4 linked regions of the Rattus norvegicus genome follow. The protein of the gene in region 1 interacts with the protein of each later gene in a pairwise test. Links are inferred from orthologs where the notes say so. Each region holds a gene or a part of one and is shown in the gene's direction. Other genes may lie near its edges.

Evidence for each region. The genes of interacting proteins can lie anywhere in the genome.
Region 2: the proteins of Tubgcp4 (region 1) and Sdsl interact in a two-hybrid assay, tested with the Homo sapiens proteins (2 studies listed by BioGRID and IntAct). The two-hybrid records come from large-scale screens. The link is inferred for Rattus norvegicus from reciprocal best matches to the Homo sapiens genes TUBGCP4 and SDSL.
Region 3: the proteins of Tubgcp4 (region 1) and Lztr1 interact in binary tests that used the Homo sapiens proteins (3 or more experiments, as listed by UniProt). The link is inferred for Rattus norvegicus from reciprocal best matches to the Homo sapiens genes TUBGCP4 and LZTR1.
Region 4: the proteins of Tubgcp4 (region 1) and Gfap interact in a two-hybrid assay, tested with the Homo sapiens proteins (2 studies listed by BioGRID and IntAct). The two-hybrid records come from large-scale screens. The link is inferred for Rattus norvegicus from reciprocal best matches to the Homo sapiens genes TUBGCP4 and GFAP.

Annotation. Positions count from the first base shown.
Region 1 is NC_086021.1:128,608,875-128,612,384, forward strand, and holds part of Tubgcp4 (gamma-tubulin complex component 4), read left to right. Parts: intron 1-736; coding exon 737-861; intron 862-3,510. UniProt on the Homo sapiens protein: Component of the gamma-tubulin ring complex (gTuRC) which mediates microtubule nucleation.
Region 2 is NC_086030.1:41,758,815-41,763,058, forward strand, and holds the start of Sdsl (serine dehydratase-like), read left to right. Parts: upstream 1-1,437; 5' UTR 1,438-1,678; intron 1,679-4,244. UniProt on the Homo sapiens protein: Catalyzes the pyridoxal-phosphate-dependent dehydrative deamination of L-threonine and L-serine to ammonia and alpha-ketobutyrate and pyruvate, respectively. Also exhibits racemase activity towards L-glutamate and D-glutamate.
Region 3 is NC_086029.1:97,005,045-97,009,308, reverse strand, and holds the start of Lztr1 (leucine-zipper-like transcriptional regulator 1), read left to right. Parts: upstream 1-1,457; 5' UTR 1,458-1,495; coding exon 1,496-1,686; intron 1,687-2,091; coding exon 2,092-2,154; intron 2,155-3,917; coding exon 3,918-3,974; intron 3,975-4,264. UniProt on the Homo sapiens protein: Substrate-specific adapter of a BCR (BTB-CUL3-RBX1) E3 ubiquitin-protein ligase complex that mediates ubiquitination of Ras (K-Ras/KRAS, N-Ras/NRAS and H-Ras/HRAS).
Region 4 is NC_086028.1:88,358,855-88,363,096, reverse strand, and holds the start of Gfap (glial fibrillary acidic protein), read left to right. Parts: upstream 1-1,435; 5' UTR 1,436-1,436; coding exon 1,437-1,891; intron 1,892-2,740; coding exon 2,741-2,801; intron 2,802-2,962; coding exon 2,963-3,058; intron 3,059-3,823; coding exon 3,824-3,985; intron 3,986-4,242.

The DNA of each region.
Region 1 (3,510 bases):
CTACCCTGACTACCCTGTCTACCCTGACTACCCTGACTACCCTGACTACCCTGTCTACCCTGACTACCCTGTCTACCCTGACTACCCTGACTACCCTGACTACCCTGTCTACCCTGACTACCCTGACTACCCTGACTACCCTGTCTACCCTGACTACCCTGACTACCCTGTCTACCCTGTCTACCCTGTCTACCCTGACTACTCTGTCTACCCTGTCTACCCTGACTACCCTGTCTACCCTGACTACCCTGTCTACCCTGACTATTCTGACTCCTGTCTACCCTGACTACCCTGACTACCCTGTCTACCCTGTCTACCCTGACTATCCTGACTCCTGTCTACCCTGACTACCCTGTCTACCCTGACTACCCTGACTACCCTGTCTACCCTGACTACTCTGTCTACCCTGTCTACCCTGTCTACCCTGACTACCCTGTCTACCCTGACTACCCTGTCTACCCTGACTATTCTGACTCCTGTCTACCCTGACTACCCTGACTACCCTGTCTACCCTGTCTACCCTGACTATCCTGACTCCTGTCTACCCTGACTACCCTGTCTACCCTGACTATCCTGACTCCTGTCTACCCTGACTACCCTGTCTACCCTGACTACCCTGTCTACCCTGTCTACCCTGACTAACCTGTCTACCCTTTCTACCCTGACTACCCTGTCTACCCTGACTACCCTGACTACCCTGACTCCTGTCTGATGATCGTGTCGTCATACTCCACAGGGTCCATCTTGAAAAACCAGGAGGACACTTTTGCTGCCGAGCTGCACCGGCTCAAGCAGCAGCCACTCTTCAGCCTGGTGGACTTTGAGCAGGTGGTAGATGGGATTCGTAGCACTGTGGCTGAGGTCTGTCTTCTGTCTCATATTCTTCCAGAAGAGATGAGTTTGTAGAGCACTAAAGGGCACGAAGGAGAGACAGGGACAGGACAGAAAGATGGATGGGGCTGGAGAGGTGCTCGGTGGTTAAGACTTAGGTTCAATTCCCAGGACCCACATAGTGGCTTTCAACCATTTGTAACCCGCTTCAGGGGATCCAGTGCCCTCTTCTGAGTTCCAAAGGCACAAGGCAGACACCCTCACGCACAGAAAATAAATAAGTAAAAGTACATCTACTTTTCAGGTAGAAATGGAACTAGCCCTTCCACTGGTGTGTTTTAATTAGTTGATTAAAGGGGAAGTCTCAGTTTAATTCCTAACACTCATGAATTTGGGTGCTAAGAAGTTTTGTGTGTGTATCTGCCTGTGCCTGTGTGTGTTTTAGTATCAACCATGTATTTCTCTAGCACACAGTAATCTTAGAAGGAAAGCAAGCACAGGATGGTGGTCCTGGCCCTTGAGACAAGTGGGAAGGGAGGAGTAGGATTCTGGGTACTAGTATTTCTTGACTTGAGGGTGCTTATGGTGATTGCCATGTCCGTTGTGAACTTCAAGGTGTAAGCTTATGATTTTTGTTTTTCTATGTAATAGTCACTACTTTGACAATAAGGTTTTAAAATTTTGGATAATATAAGAGAAAAACGCTTGTATCTTCAGTTGTTTATTATTTACATGGAGACATAGTATTGCTAATTTATTGCTGGCTAATCTTACACATTCCACTTAACTCTGCGTAACTAACTTTTAATTTATATGTTTATTTTATGTATATAAGCACACTGTAGCTGTCTTCAGACACACCAGAAGAGTCATCAGATTCATTACAGATGGTTGTGAGTCACCATGTGGTTGCTGGGAATTGAACTCAGGACCTCTGGAAGAGCAGTTGGGGCTCTTACATCTGTTTTTGTTTGTTTGTTTGTTTGTTTGGGTTTTTTTTTGGTTTTTTTTTTCGGAGCTGGGGACCGAACCCAGGGCCTTGCGCTTGCTAGGCAAGTGCTCTACCACTGAGCTAAACCCCCAACCCCAGTGCTCTTACATCTGAACCACCTCTTGAGTTGAGTCCCTGGTTACCTAACTTAGTTCTGGGACTTGATACTTTTTTTATGTACTAAAGATGACCGCCCCTGAAAATAATGTTTTACAACATTTCTCCCAGTGTGTAAACATACATTGTTCTAGGCTCTTTATTGAAACAGTAGACAAGTGGGCTTTGTTTGCATAAATTGTGTCAAACAATAGAGGTAATATTGGACATTTCTGATTTCCTGACTCTTAGAGATGCAGAGTTCATGCATTACTATGATATTTACTGTAGGCTTCTAGAAGGAAGTTTAACAAAGTATTCTCTTCCTAGTTAACCGATTTTTTTATCCTAAGTGATGTCAGTTTTACCAGTTGCCCCTTGTGTTAGTGAAAGAGAGCATCCTTGCCTTGAATCCATTTCTCTTTCATAAAGTTTTTACATCTGTGTGCATTAGTTAAGAAAGACGATTGTCTGTCTTCTCTGTCTTATTCCTGGGTAGTTTTTACATAAGCCTTATAAAATGGGCTAGGTAGCTGCTTTTGTTCTTTCCTTATTATTTGTAAAAACAGTCTATATCAGTAATTGGCTACTGAAAGTTTGAACTTAATGAGAAGTGATCTAAGCTAGACTTTCTCAGGAAGAAAAACTTTACTGGTTGAGTATGTTTTAAAATGAAATTACCATAAAATTTCTTCTTGTAACAATTTTGATAATTCTGTGACTGTGGAACTTGACTATTTCAGTTTTTTTTTTTTTTTTTTTTTGGTTCTTTTTTTTCGGAGCTGGGGACCGAACCCAGGGCCTTGCGCTTCCCAGGCAAGCACTCTACCACTGAGCTAAATCCCCAGCCCCGATTTAATTTTTTAAAATACTTGTTTGTCTATATTATGTTTTGTTTACTTAAATTCTGTCTTTTAAAATTTATTTTATGGCCTGTCAGTGGTAGCATTGGAGAGGCAGAGGCAAGTGGATCTCTGAGTTTGAGGCCAGTTTGGTCTACAAGGCAAATGGCCAGAGCTACACAAAGAAACCCTGTCTAAAATAAATAAATAAATAAATAAATAAATAAATAAATAAATAAATAAGGAAGAAAGAAAGAGAGAGGGAGGGAGGGAGGGAGGGAGGGAGGAAGGAAGGAAGGAAGGAAGAGTGTGGTATGTATACTTATGTTACAAAGAGTGTGTGTGTGTTAGTGTGTGTGTGTGTGTGTGTGTGTGTGTGTGTGTGTGTGTGTGTGTGTGTGTCCATGCACACCCACCTGAGAATAGTTTCAGATACCTTCTTTTGGCTAGCCTGGCTGGCCAGTGAGCACCAGCATCTCCCTGTCTTGCTGTCTCCCAACATTGGGTTCTGGACATGAGCCACTGCACTCAGCTTTTACATACATGCTGGAGATCTGAACTCAGGTCCTTATGCTTGCTTAGCAAGATTTTTCATCACTGAGCCATCTCACCAGCCCCAGTTTTTCTCATTATTTAGTCTTGTTAGGCTTTTATTAAGATTAATAAGCTAGTTATAATCAGCTTCTCCTCCTTAATTTAAAACATTTATAAATGGAAAAATCACATTATTTCAATGCATAGATAAGTTAT
Region 2 (4,244 bases), on another chromosome or scaffold:
GCTTGTGGTAGAGGGCTTGTCCGATGTGCAAGAGCCTTGGGGTTTGCTATGGGTATACCATAACCATATAATAAATGTAGATTCTCGTCTACAGCTGAGGTCCTCCACCAGGAAGCCTTCTCCTTCTTACAGGCGCTATGGAGACCCTGCCTTCTGTCCTTTTGTGTCCCCAGGGCCTCATGCAAGACTGGCCGCTTGTCAGGGATGGGGGAGGGGTTAATGTGAGGGCAGAGGTGAGTTGGGTGGGGTCCTAGTCCACCTATGTGGAGCTAAGCAGCCCCACCTCACTCCAGGTAGCCGGGGGTTAATCATCAATCCTAGGAGGGGAGAGGTCATGAGTCCCCAAGGAAGACACAGGACACCTGTGTTGCCTGGTCCTTACTGAATCTTGCCTCTCATTTTATATCTGGGGAAACTGAGGCTCAGGACACACTCCAGGGTTTCAGCCTTGTCCAGTAAATAGGTGGGGACAGAAGGGCCACAAGAGTCTGATCGTGGAGCTTGGAGCACAGATTTGATTAGACTAAATAGGTAGAAAGTCCAGACACCTTCCTCCTTCCACTTCATAATGCCAAGATTAGAGACACATTACCTCTTCTGGCCCTTTTCCACGGGTGCTGGAGAGCCAAACTTGGGTTCTCCCACATGCCATCTCCCCAGTCTCTCCTCAGTCCCTCTGTGACCCCAGAACTCAGCATGGCTTCCCACTCCCCGCCAATCCCTTCCCCAACCTCCCACCGGCTCCCACCTCCTATAGCAGGGGCACACAGAGGGCTGGGAGAAGGCAGGGGACACTCTATCTTGTTTGAGGTTAAAGGTCTCAGGACTTGGTGGGTGGTAGGTGTCTGGTAAATATTTATTTATTGAGCGCCTGAAGAAGTGAACAGCCGTTGCTCTGAACAGTAGATAACAGCCAGGCTTCCTCCGCTGGCTGTGAAATGACAGGGATGAGAACATGACGTGAGAGTCCCTCTTCCCTATCCAGACTGGAAGACAGGACAGCCGCTGGTTCAGCGGCTTCCTTCCTTCCTTCCTTCCTTCCTTCCTTCCTTCCTTCCTTCCTTCCTTCCTTCTTTCCTTCCTTCCCTTCTTTTTTCAACAGGGTCTCTCTATGTAGCCCCAACTGTCCTGGAACTTTCTGTTATCTACCAGCTTGGTCTTGAACTCACCGAGATCCATTTGCCTCTATCTCCCAAGTACTGGCATTAAAGACGTGTGCTACCGTGCCTGGCCTGCCTCTTTGTTTTCTTGTCTCAAACATAAGCTGACTCCAGTGTGGACCAGGGCAAGTGGCCTGACCCAGCAACAGCTCTGAACCCAAAGTCAGACCTGGGGTGCCTGTGTTACGAAGGGGTCCGAGATGAGGGGTTCACCTACCTCTTGCTGGCCAGTCCCATGGATGTATGCTTCCTGAACCTCCATTTCTCCACCTACCATATGAGCACGGGTCATTCATGAGCCGTGAGCTGCATGAGGAAGGCAGAGAGGGTTGCATATCCCCACGAGTTCATCTTGATCACTTTTTGTTGTGAGTCCTCACCAGGACCCCAGAATCAAGAGCTGTCCCTTTAACAAGGAGGAGGGGCCAGGGCCTGATAGCGGAAGCTGATCTGGTAGCCTGTGAGTTCAGATTGATCCTGGCTGGGCTGTGCTGGTCTTGGACTGTCTTTCGGGGAAGGTAAGGGAGGCATTGTGGGAGTGGCTGGGGACCGTGGGACAGTGTGTTGGGCAGTGAGTGGGCGTGAGTGTGGTTACTAGCCTGGTGGCCCTGATTACTATCTTGGCAAGCCCTGTGGACCCTGAGAGTAGAGAGCAGATTGTGTTGGCTGGAGAGGCTGTCAGTTAGTTTGGCTTTCTAACCCTTTTCTTGATTTAGCTGCTGTAGGCCACTAAATGGCCCACAGGGAAAGGATCCCAGGATGGTCAGGTTCAGAGTGAGGGCAGGACCAGATGAGCACTGCTTACCAGTGAGTTCTAGCAAGAAAGTCACAGGGCTTCAGCTATTCAAGCCCTTTTACGTGGTTGCTGCAGAGCTGAACTTGGGCTCTCCCTGCTCAGCTCCCGCACCTGCTTCAGTGGTGAGAGGTGGGGTCCCAGGGTCTTGGGCTCAGCTGGGTCATCACCCTGTGACAGTGGTGAAGTGGCTGTCCTCAGGAGGAGCAGAGAGGCCTGGGGACAGAGCCAAGCATGTTAGCACTTTTTCTTTGCTGCTTTTGTTTGCTCGGGACAGGGCTTCTCTGTGCGGCCCTGGCTGTCCTGGAACTCACTCTATAGACCAGGCTGGCCTCAAACTCACAGGGAACCACTGGGATTGAAGGTGTGTGCCACCACCACCACCTGGCGAGTTTCCGTTCTTACGGATAATTGTCAGTGAAGTACCAAATGGCCTCATTTTGAATGGATGAATGAATGAATGAATGAATGAATGAATGAAGGTTATGATGGTGATGCTGATGGTGATGATGATATCAACAGTTCAGTAGCTAAGACGACACATGGTGTGGAAGCCCACACCTGCGTTTTGAACTCTGAACCTGTGGCCTCGTGCACCAACCCCCCTGGATGAGTAGTTACAGAACGAAGTTAAATACAGGCCTCTGTCAGGGTTTCTCAGTGCCTTCTGAGATAAGAAGGAAGGAGCTGGGCATGGTGCCCAGCTCCCAGCAAGTCCCACACAACAGTTAGCCCTTATCAAGTAATGCAGGGAACATTGGACACCTCCACTTCACGGTTGAACTCATCATCTCAAGGACCCTGTGCTGTCCAGGGCTGTCTGGTGTGTGGCGAGTTTCATAATTAGCTCATTCTTCTCTCTCTGGTCCAAGAGGCCTTTCCTGACTCCATACCCAAAAGGTTTTAAGAAAAGATCTATTTATTTATTTAATGTATGTGAGCACACTGTGGGTTCCTTCAAAAACAACAGACGAGGGCATCGGATCCCATCACAGATGGTTGTGAGCCACCATGTGGTTGCTGGGACTTGAACTCAGGACCTCTGGAAGAGCAGTCAGTGCTCTTAACCACCGAGCCATCTCTCCAGCCCCAAAGGGGACTCTTCTATTCACCCCTAACACTCACAGTTTCCTACTATTTTGTTGGTCTGTAGACATCATCAAACCACAAGTCAGCTCAGAGGTAGGTATTTGTCTCCCCACTAAGCCATTCCTGGGTCCCAATCCCCAGCCTGGACCTTGACCATGCTCTCTAGATGCACACAGTAGGGTGTGCCATCTGCACTGGGAGAGGGTTCCCATGAGAGAACTTCTCTGGAGAACTCAGTCGGGAGCATGCCAGTAGGCGCCATCAATTTGTCTGCACCACAGTCTGTGAGTTGGGGTATGTATTTGTTCCCATTTTACAGATGAGGGAACGGGCGCGGAGTGGTTGAGGCACACACTTGGGTCACATGACCCTTTTTTACTCTGGTCTCTGCTTAACCCCCAAAACTACAATCTAGGATTGCAAGCCTGAGATGAGAGCCAGGTCAGGCTATGAAAGGTGTCTTAGGGTTTCTATTGCTATAATAAACACCATGAGCAAAAGCAACTTGGGAAGGAAAGGGTCTGTCTGGCTTACACTTCCACATCACTGTTCATCACTGAAGGAAGTCAGGGCAGGACTCAATCAGGGCAGGAACCTGGAGGCAGGAGCTGATGCAGAGGCCATGGAGGGGTGCTGCTTACTGGCTTGCTCCCCATGGCTTGCCCAGCCTGCTTTCTTATAGAACCCAGGACTCTGGGGTTGGAGAGATGGCTCAGCAGTTAAGAGCATTGACTTTTCTTCCAGAATTCAATTCCCAGCAACCACATGGTGGCTCGCAACTGTCTGTAATGGGATCTGATGCTCTCTTGTGGTGTCTGAAGGCAGCTACAGTGTACACACACACACACACACACACACACACACACACACACACACACACACACACACCTTTAATAGAAATAGAGCCCAGGACCACTAGCCTAGGGATGGAATTGCCAACAGTGGGCTGGACCATCGCACATCAATCACCTATGAAGAAAATACACCAAGGGCTTTCTTTCCCACAGTCCAGTCTTTTAGGGTGAGCTTCTCAGTCCCTCTTCAAAAATGGCTCTAGCTTGTGTCAAGTGACATAAAACTAGCCAGTACAGGAATCTGGAGACCGGGTACAGCTCATAGGCCCCTTACCCTGTGAGAAGTGCTGAAGGAGATGGGCCTGTGTTGTCTTTGCCTTGTCTGGGGAGTTCCAGGGTCATCCTGAC
Region 3 (4,264 bases), on another chromosome or scaffold:
GAGTCTTCCAAGGCTTGCCTTCAACTGTCTGCCTCACCTCCAGAGAGGCTACTACTGCCTCCAGAAGATGATCCGTTCCGAAGGCCTCAGCTGTCACTGACAGCTGGTTTTAGAGGCAGGACAGGCTCTGTCTCTGCTTCCTCTGTTAGGACTGTTTTCCCAGCAAGCCCCTTCAACATTACCTTAAAATTAAAACACATATATCAGCAGATCTGTGTCCCAGTATAATTGGGCCAACACTTAACAGCTAGGCATGATGTGACACATCTGTAATAGCAGCACTCAGGCAGAGGTAGGAAGGTCAGAAGTTTCAGGCCATCCTGGACTACATGAAATCTTTTGTTTTTAAAAAGCTTCAGAAGCCAGAGGCAGCTTTTGTATTTGTCCACTTAAGGGAGACAGGAGCTGGGTCCTGCAGACTCCATACTGCCCACAGCAAGCTAAGCTGGTATAATAATAGTGATAATAATAATAATTATTATTAATCACAGCCAGGAGGTGGTGGCACATGCCTTTAATCTCAGCCCCTGGGAGGCAGAGGCAGGCAGATCTCCGAATTCAAGGCCAGCCTGGTCTACAGAGCTAGTTCCAGGACAGCCAGAGCTACACAAAGAAACCCTGTCTGGAAAAAACAAAAATCGAAAATCACTTCATTGTTATAAACTCACAAATATACTCTGTTGGATTACAGTAGTCACCCAAAAACCTATCCAGTCCCACTCTATATATCAACTTTTTTGTAGTCAGGACAGCCATTGGCTTTTATAAGCTCTTTTTTATAAGCTCTTACAAAAAAAGTTAAAACTAGACCAATTAACTAATTAACTTTATATCCATTTCACGACTACATGTGTTCCTTTTGCCTGAACTTCCTGAATCATCATTTCACAGGCGACTCAGCTGGCAATAGACTACAACTTAAAAAAACCACCGATTGTGCTGTAGCCTAGTGGCAGAGTGCATGCCCATCAAGTCCTGGGGTTCAAAGCCCATCGCAGAGAGGACGGAGGGAGAGGGGGACAGAGGGAGGGCGGTTGGGGGACATAAGCAGAAGGTGTTGGACAGTTGAGCCGCTCGCCTGCAAGTCGGAAACCTCATCCTGGAGGAGGGCGGGGTGGGGGGGCTTCCGGGAGATGGCAAAGCCCGACTACAAGGCATGCCGGGAGCGTGTAGCTCGCCGCTGCCTAGAGAATGTTAGTGGCTGACTATAGCCAGACTGCGTTTCCTGAAAGGGGAAACCCAAGCCGAGACTTGGCCAAAAATGCTTTCCAGAATGTGACGTATCGATACATGATAATGCGAGGAGCCTGGCTACCAGGTTCCTCGACAACCCGCCGCGTCGCGGGGAGCGCTAGGTTTGTCGGGAGGGCGGACAAGCTGGCCGGAAGTGCTACACCAGGGGCGCAGGGCCCTCTGGGAAGTGTGGTCCTTTGACTTGGCCCGGGCGGTGGCCGTGAGTCCTGCAACCTGGTGGCCTATTCGGCCTGAACCAGGGATGGCAGGCTCCGGAGGCCCCACTGGGCCCGGGGCCTTGACAGGAGGGGTGAGCTCCAAGGTGGCTCCGAGCGTGGACTTTGACCACAGCTGCTCAGACAGTGTCGAGTACCTGACGCTCAACTTTGGACCCTTCGAAACTGTGCATCGCTGGCGGCGCCTCCCGCCCTGCGACGAATTCGTAGGCGCTCGGTATGCAGTGTACAGGGGATCCTGAAGGCACTGGTAGTAGGGACGAGAGCTGAAGTTTTAGGACGGGCTCTAGGGGAGAGATCCCTTGTGATGTCTTGGAGTATGGATTGGTCATTCCAAGGCTGGGTTCCCAGGGAGTAACACCATAGTGACCCTAGGTAGGGTACCAGACCTGTGTTTCTGAGGATCCTGTTTGGGTCCCTGAGCTGTGAGGTATGAGTGGGAAGTCTCCGGTGTGTCAGGCGTCCTTGCTGTCTGAAGAAACTGAAGGATCTCTATAGATCTTAGCGGTTGGGAGGCTTTATCCAAACTTAGGTGGCAGCAGAGATGTGTAGTCTCATTTCTTGGGTGCCAGCCAGAAGAGTCCTAGTCTCACCACTCTTCACCCCTTTTATCTTTTTCTAGGCGCAGCAAACACACAGTCGTGGCGTATAAGGATGCCATCTATGTGTTTGGCGGAGATAATGGGTAAGTTTGCCTGTTTTGATGGTGGCAGGGGATGATGACAGAGAGACAGACCTGTTGTCTGAGAATGGGAGTTAGTAGCCCTGCCTTGTGAGCCTCTGTTTCCCCATGTGTGTGGTGCTTTGTACCTGATTCCCATGTTATGGTGAGGAAGATCCTACCCTTAAAGCCCTTTCACCCATCACTCAAATGGCAGCACGTGCTCAGTACGTGGGAATAAATGCCCTTGTTTTAGTGAGGAGATATAGCTTTGGAAGAAACACGTGTGCTCTTGTTGCTATCCCTGCCTGTCACTTTTTTCTTTCCTTCCTCTTGGGCCTAGAACCTGGCACTACAGCCTTGGTCCTGTAGATTACATGAGGCGGCTGACCTAGAGGCAGTGAGGTTTCAGGACTCTCTCTATTAGGACATGCAAACTTGGCTCACATCCGCAGTCTCTCTCCAAGAGCAGTTGGGGATTCATGTACAACTGCATGTCAGAGCGTGCTCCTCAGTTCACAGCCCTGTAATGTCCCCATCTTCTCTGTGTAAAGACCAGTCCTAATAGGAGGGGTGGCCTCCTTGTTAGTGCTGTCCTGTCTCTCTGGTGGCCTTGTATTTGGATTGTCCCCAACCCTCGCTACCCAGCCCTTGTACACTTCCGTCTCCCTTCTAATGTCCTCACGGATGAGGCCTTGTGTCCTCTTACCTCTTCCTGTGCCACTTGCCCCTGGTGTTGGCTGTGATCTGTTTTCATACTCAGTTCCCTACATCAGTGTCCAGATGTACCCATTTACGGAGTAAAAGAAAAGGACGAGCCTTAGTAAGAATTCATACACCAAAAAAGACTGGTGTCTAGCATAGGGTAGTGAGGATGTCAGGACCACTGTCCTCAGCTTCTTCTGGAGCTGGTAGACAACTGGTTGGTAATAAGCAGAAATGCTTTCTTTCAGTATGCAGTTTCAAAAGAAAAGGTAGAGAAAGTCAGTTACACATCTGTTTGCCTGTGACTTAGGATAAATCAGGGTGTCCTCCATTAAGAATGGAAAGATGAGTAGCAACTTTGGTATTAGAAGCTAAGAGCAAGGAAACCTGGCAGTGGAGATGGGGCCTGGTCAGTTAACTTAAATCCTTCAGGGTTACATCAGTGGGGGCTTCCTTATCAAACTGACTCAGACAGACTGTAGTCTCCTGGTTTTAGGGGAAACTGTTAGGTTTTGGGGTCAACACCAAAGAGATACCCTGCAAAAGCCTGGCCCTGGAGGGAGTGCCTCAGCTCCTGTTGGTTCTCCTTTCTTCCACATTAACAAGTTGGTAATATGCCCAACTTGCATATTAAATGCAAGCTGGCCCAGTGAGCAGTGGAATTACTTTTGATACAGTTGTTATGTCAGATGGCAGCCGAGGGAAAAGCATGCAGGTCTCCACCATTGTTTGAGACAGAATGTTGTCATTGTAGGGCAGCCTTGGAAGGAAGGGTTCAGTGCAGGATAGGACTTCTCGGGGCTGGGCGAGCTGCGAATGAGGACTCCAGCTCTGGGCCCTTGAGTGGGGTGCTGGTGGTGCGATCAGGCTGGCCTTGTCTGTGTGAGAGCCCTAGTTGCCCCTACCTAGTCACTAACTTTGAGCTGTGGACATTGACAAGTTGTCTGACAGGTCAGTGAGTCAGGTCCTTCTTGCTGCCTCCAATCCTAAGTGGATGCCCTCTCCCATCTTAAAGATCCTGGTGAGGTAACACCTTGCAATATCCTGGCTGCTGCAGCTCTCTCTCTCTGACTGCCTTTCAGGAAGACGATGCTCAATGATCTCCTGCGGTTCGACGTGAAGGATTGCTCCTGGTGCAGGTGGGTGGCCCCTGGGCTTCAGGACTCTGCCTGTCCTGGAGAGCAGCATCACTGGACCAGATTCACTGGCTGATAGAGTCAGCTCATCATGGAGGTCCAGGGAGAAATATAACAGATGAGAGCCTGGGATGGCTTCCCTTCTCATGGCTCTCTGTGAGAATGCATGTCTTAAGTTATCCCAGCTCCTGTGAGCTATAGGCTGTCTGGTCTAGTTGGTGGTAAGTAGTTTCTGACTTGGGAGGGGCCTTCAGTCACCAGAATGTCCTGGGCCAGGAGCTGCTGTGGGATCT
Region 4 (4,242 bases), on another chromosome or scaffold:
CTTTCCGAGAAGTCCATTGAGCTGGGAGCTTGTACTGCACCAAGGGCTGACATCCTGGCAGCCAGGGATGAAAGCAGCCCATGGGGCTACCCTTGCCGTATGCCTCACTGGCGGCAGAGAACAAGGCTCTATTCAGCAAATACCCTGGAGTAGACACCAGAAGTCCAAGCATGGGCAGAGGAAGGCAGGCGTTGGGGGCTGGAGGGGAGCAGAGCTGTCTGTTTTCCAGAAGCCCAAGGGTACAGATGGCGCCTGGGGGGGAACTGAGTGGAGGGGATAGATGGGCCTGAGATCTCAAACATCAACAGCCTCCTCCCCACCAACGATGAAGGTGGAGGTTGGTTTCCCGGACCTACATATCCCCCAGAGACCTGGTGTATGAAAATTCAAAGGAGGTAAGTCTCCTGAGAGAACGGGGGGGCTCACAAATGAAGCCAGCTGTCTTACCCTATCAGGACCTACGTGCATTCCTTCTGTCCTGCCCCCTAAACACACAGCCAGAGGCTCAAATTGATTCTGGAGTCACAAAGGGGGCTTGAAACCCCAGCCCCCAACTCCTGAACTCCAGGAATGAGAAGATAGTACTGGAGGGGTTCAGAGGAGAGGGCTCTGCACATCTGTTGAGAATGGGGGTCCCAGGAGAGTGTAATTTAGGCTGATCCCGGAGGAAGGGAATAGGTTCTTCAAGATCCTAGCATCTCACAGGCCCACAGAGAAGTTCAGAGTTGGGGCAGCCCTGGCTTACAGGCTCTAAGAACTGGAGGCAGTTTACCCAACCCAGCTGTGTGCATGCTGTCCCTCTCTCTGTCTCTGTCTGTCTCTCTCTGTCTCTGTCTCTCTGTGTGTGTGTGTGTGTGCTCACACACGTGTGTGTTTACCACACAAATGTTCATGTGTGTGTACATACATGTGTTGAGGCCAGAGGTCAACCTCAGACACTGTTGACTTGGTTGTCTGAGATAACATTTCCCCCTGGGACCTGAGATTTGCCAATTAGTGTGACCCAGGAAGCCTACTTATTTTCATTCCTCAGCACTGCAGTTACAAGTATGCACTGTCAAACCAGGCCTTTTTTTTTTTTTTTCCAAACCAGGCCTTTTGTATTCGCTCTGTGGCTAGAACTTGGGTCTCCATGCTTGACAGGCAAGCGATTTATGGACTAAGCTGTTTCCTCGGCCCTCTCTTGACCCATTTACCAGAAATGGGGTTTCCTTGATCAATGGTGAAGCCAGGCTGGTGTTCCCAGGAAACCCTTGACTCTGGGTACAGTGACCTTGGTGGGGTGAGAAGAGTTCTCTCCATAGCTGGGCTGGGGCCCAGCTCCACCCCCTCAGGCTATTCAATGGGGTGCTGCCAGGAAGTCAGGGGCAGATCCAGTCCAGCCCGTCCCTCAATAAAGGCCCTGACATCCCAGGAGCCAGCAGAAGCAGGGCAAGATGGAGCGGAGACGTATCACCTCTGCACGCCGCTCCTATGCCTCCTCCGAGACGATGGTCAGGGGCCATGGTCCTACCAGACACCTGGGTACCATTCCGCGCCTCTCCCTGTCTCGAATGACGCCTCCACTCCCTGCCAGGGTAGACTTCTCCCTGGCCGGGGCGCTCAATGCCGGCTTCAAAGAGACTCGGGCCAGCGAGCGTGCGGAGATGATGGAGCTCAATGACCGCTTTGCTAGCTACATCGAGAAGGTCCGCTTCCTGGAACAGCAAAACAAGGCGCTGGCAGCTGAGCTGAACCAGCTTCGAGCCAAGGAGCCCACCAAACTGGCTGACGTTTACCAGGCAGAACTTCGGGAGCTGCGGCTGCGTCTGGACCAGCTTACTACCAACAGTGCCCGGCTGGAGGTGGAGAGGGACAATCTCACACAGGACCTCGGCACCCTGAGGCAGAAGTGAGAAGGGGAATAGGAAAAATGGCTAGTGAGCAGAGAGACTGAATTGAGAGAGGAGCCTGGAAGGAAGGGTACTGCCTCCCCCTAAGGAGAGCCTCTTGGCTGCTGTGTTTCAAAAGGGAGAGCTGTCTTTGTTCCCTAATATGATCAGAATAGCCAGGAAGAGACTGAAAACTTCAGGGATCAGATTCCCAGAGAGAGCTGAGCATTCTGGGTACTTCCACCAAGCTGAGGGAGGCTGTGTGTGGGTAGCCAGGGTACAAGCAGGCAGGTGCTTCAGTCACTGGGCACTATGAATGGCCAGAGAGGTTTGCGTCCACAAGGAGGCTCTTGGTCTCTGAAATATAAGAAATGCAAGAAAGAGCAGGCAGGCCTGGATGCCGGGCCCAGATGGCTGTCTACGACCTGCTTTTGACCCTGCTCAAGTCATTTTGATTGGTTGTAGCTGTAAAGGAGAGGTCATGATACAATCTGTCCTAAAAGATGGTAACCGAGGTCAAACTCTGGGGCGTGGTGCTTTGCTGGGTGGTGGGTATTCACGTGTCCCTCTGGTGCGGGAGGGGCACTGGTGTCAGTGACAGTGGGCGCACGGTGGTGGATGCGTCTCTGGGAACAAGAGCAGGTGCACCAACCCCGATAAGGCACCTCAGTAATGAGTTAAGGAGGAAGCTCTTATCTGTTCACGCTCAGCCAAGGCCTCTGTGTAGGAACCTGCCGTTGCTTACTCTTCCTGCCATTCTACCGATCCTGTGGGATCCGTTTGTGACAGTCCCCTCCCTCTGGAGGTTCGGATAGGGATCCAAGAGTCCTCAGGAAAACCTAAAGCCTGTACTGTGTTCCCTGTCCCAGGCTCCAAGATGAAACCAACCTGAGGCTGGAGGCGGAGAACAACCTGGCTGTGTACAGACAGGTCAGAGAGATGAGAGGGAGGGTGGGGGAGGGGAGGCGGAGGGCCGCCCACCAAACACCGCAGTTGTCTGCTTCCAAGATCCCCACAAGGAGGGGGAAGACAAAGTTGGAAATTTTAGTAGCTAGGACCCTGGGGTCAAAGAGATTCTCTCCCTGCTCCAGGAGGCGGATGAAGCCACCTTGGCTCGTGTGGATCTGGAGAGGAAGGTTGAGTCGCTGGAGGAGGAGATCCAGTTCTTGAGGAAGATCCATGAGGAGGTGAGGCCAGGGAGGGGGAGGGAGGGGCCTTACGAGAAACTGCAGGTGATAGACAGAGACGCTCACAGAGGGAAACGGAGAAACCAAATTTCAGGAAGAAAACAAAAACGAGAGAAAGAGTGAAGACAGAGACTAAGGGAGATGTGTCCAGTATTTACTACCCGTGAAAACACACGCAGGCCTTCCGCCGCCATGTTCTGAGAAGCACAGAACCGAGTCTTGAGTTTCTCCTTCACATCAGCTCTGCGAGCCTTATCACTACCTCCTTCACAACTGTGGGGACCTTGAGGCCCAGAGAGGTTAAAACACACCCCCAAAGTCACACAGCTGAGAACCCCTCTGAGGACCTGTCACAGTGGTATGCATCTCAGCCTGTGAGTGGTAGACGTGGAACGTTTGAACTGTTCAAGGCCAATTTCAGCCACACAGAAAAACTGAGACCAGCCACGCACGCACGCACATCTATTCTCTGACCTCAGAGCCTGGCTGCAAGACATATTCATTCATGCCTGGTTCCTGACTATGCAGTCCTGAGAGGAAGGCACCCTCAAATTCTCATTCCATGCCCATTAGACGCTTTACTTTTACTTTTTGACAGGATATCACTGTGTAGCCTTGGCTGGCCTGGAACATGCACTTCCTCCAGTAACATCTGCCTCATTTCCGTGAGCCATTGCTATAAATGGCAGACAGAGGCGTGAGTCTGGGAGAGTGCAGCCTAGGCCTGAGGCTTGAGCCTCAATACCCCTTCTTTTACCTTATTAGGAAGTTCGAGAACTCCAGGAGCAGCTGGCCCAGCAGCAGGTCCACGTGGAGATGGATGTGGCCAAGCCAGACCTCACAGCGGCTCTGAGAGAGATTCGCACTCAGTACGAGGCAGTGGCCACCAGTAACATGCAAGAAACAGAAGAGTGGTATCGGTCCAAGGTACCTGTGGGGCAGCTTGCCTCTTCCAGGAAGTCTTCCTGCTCCCTCCTGAAGAATAAAGGAAGGAAGGAAGCTAGGGAAGGGTAACCTATCTAGGTGTCCAGTCTTGCCCAGAGAGAGGAGACTTGCCCAAAACCACGCAAGCATTATTACTTCCCAAACTACTCTTGGTTACTGCTATTATAAGTAATATCAGTAATAGTTAATAATAGCTAAAAGGCTCACCAGTTTGCTCAGTGTCACACAGCTCCTAAGTG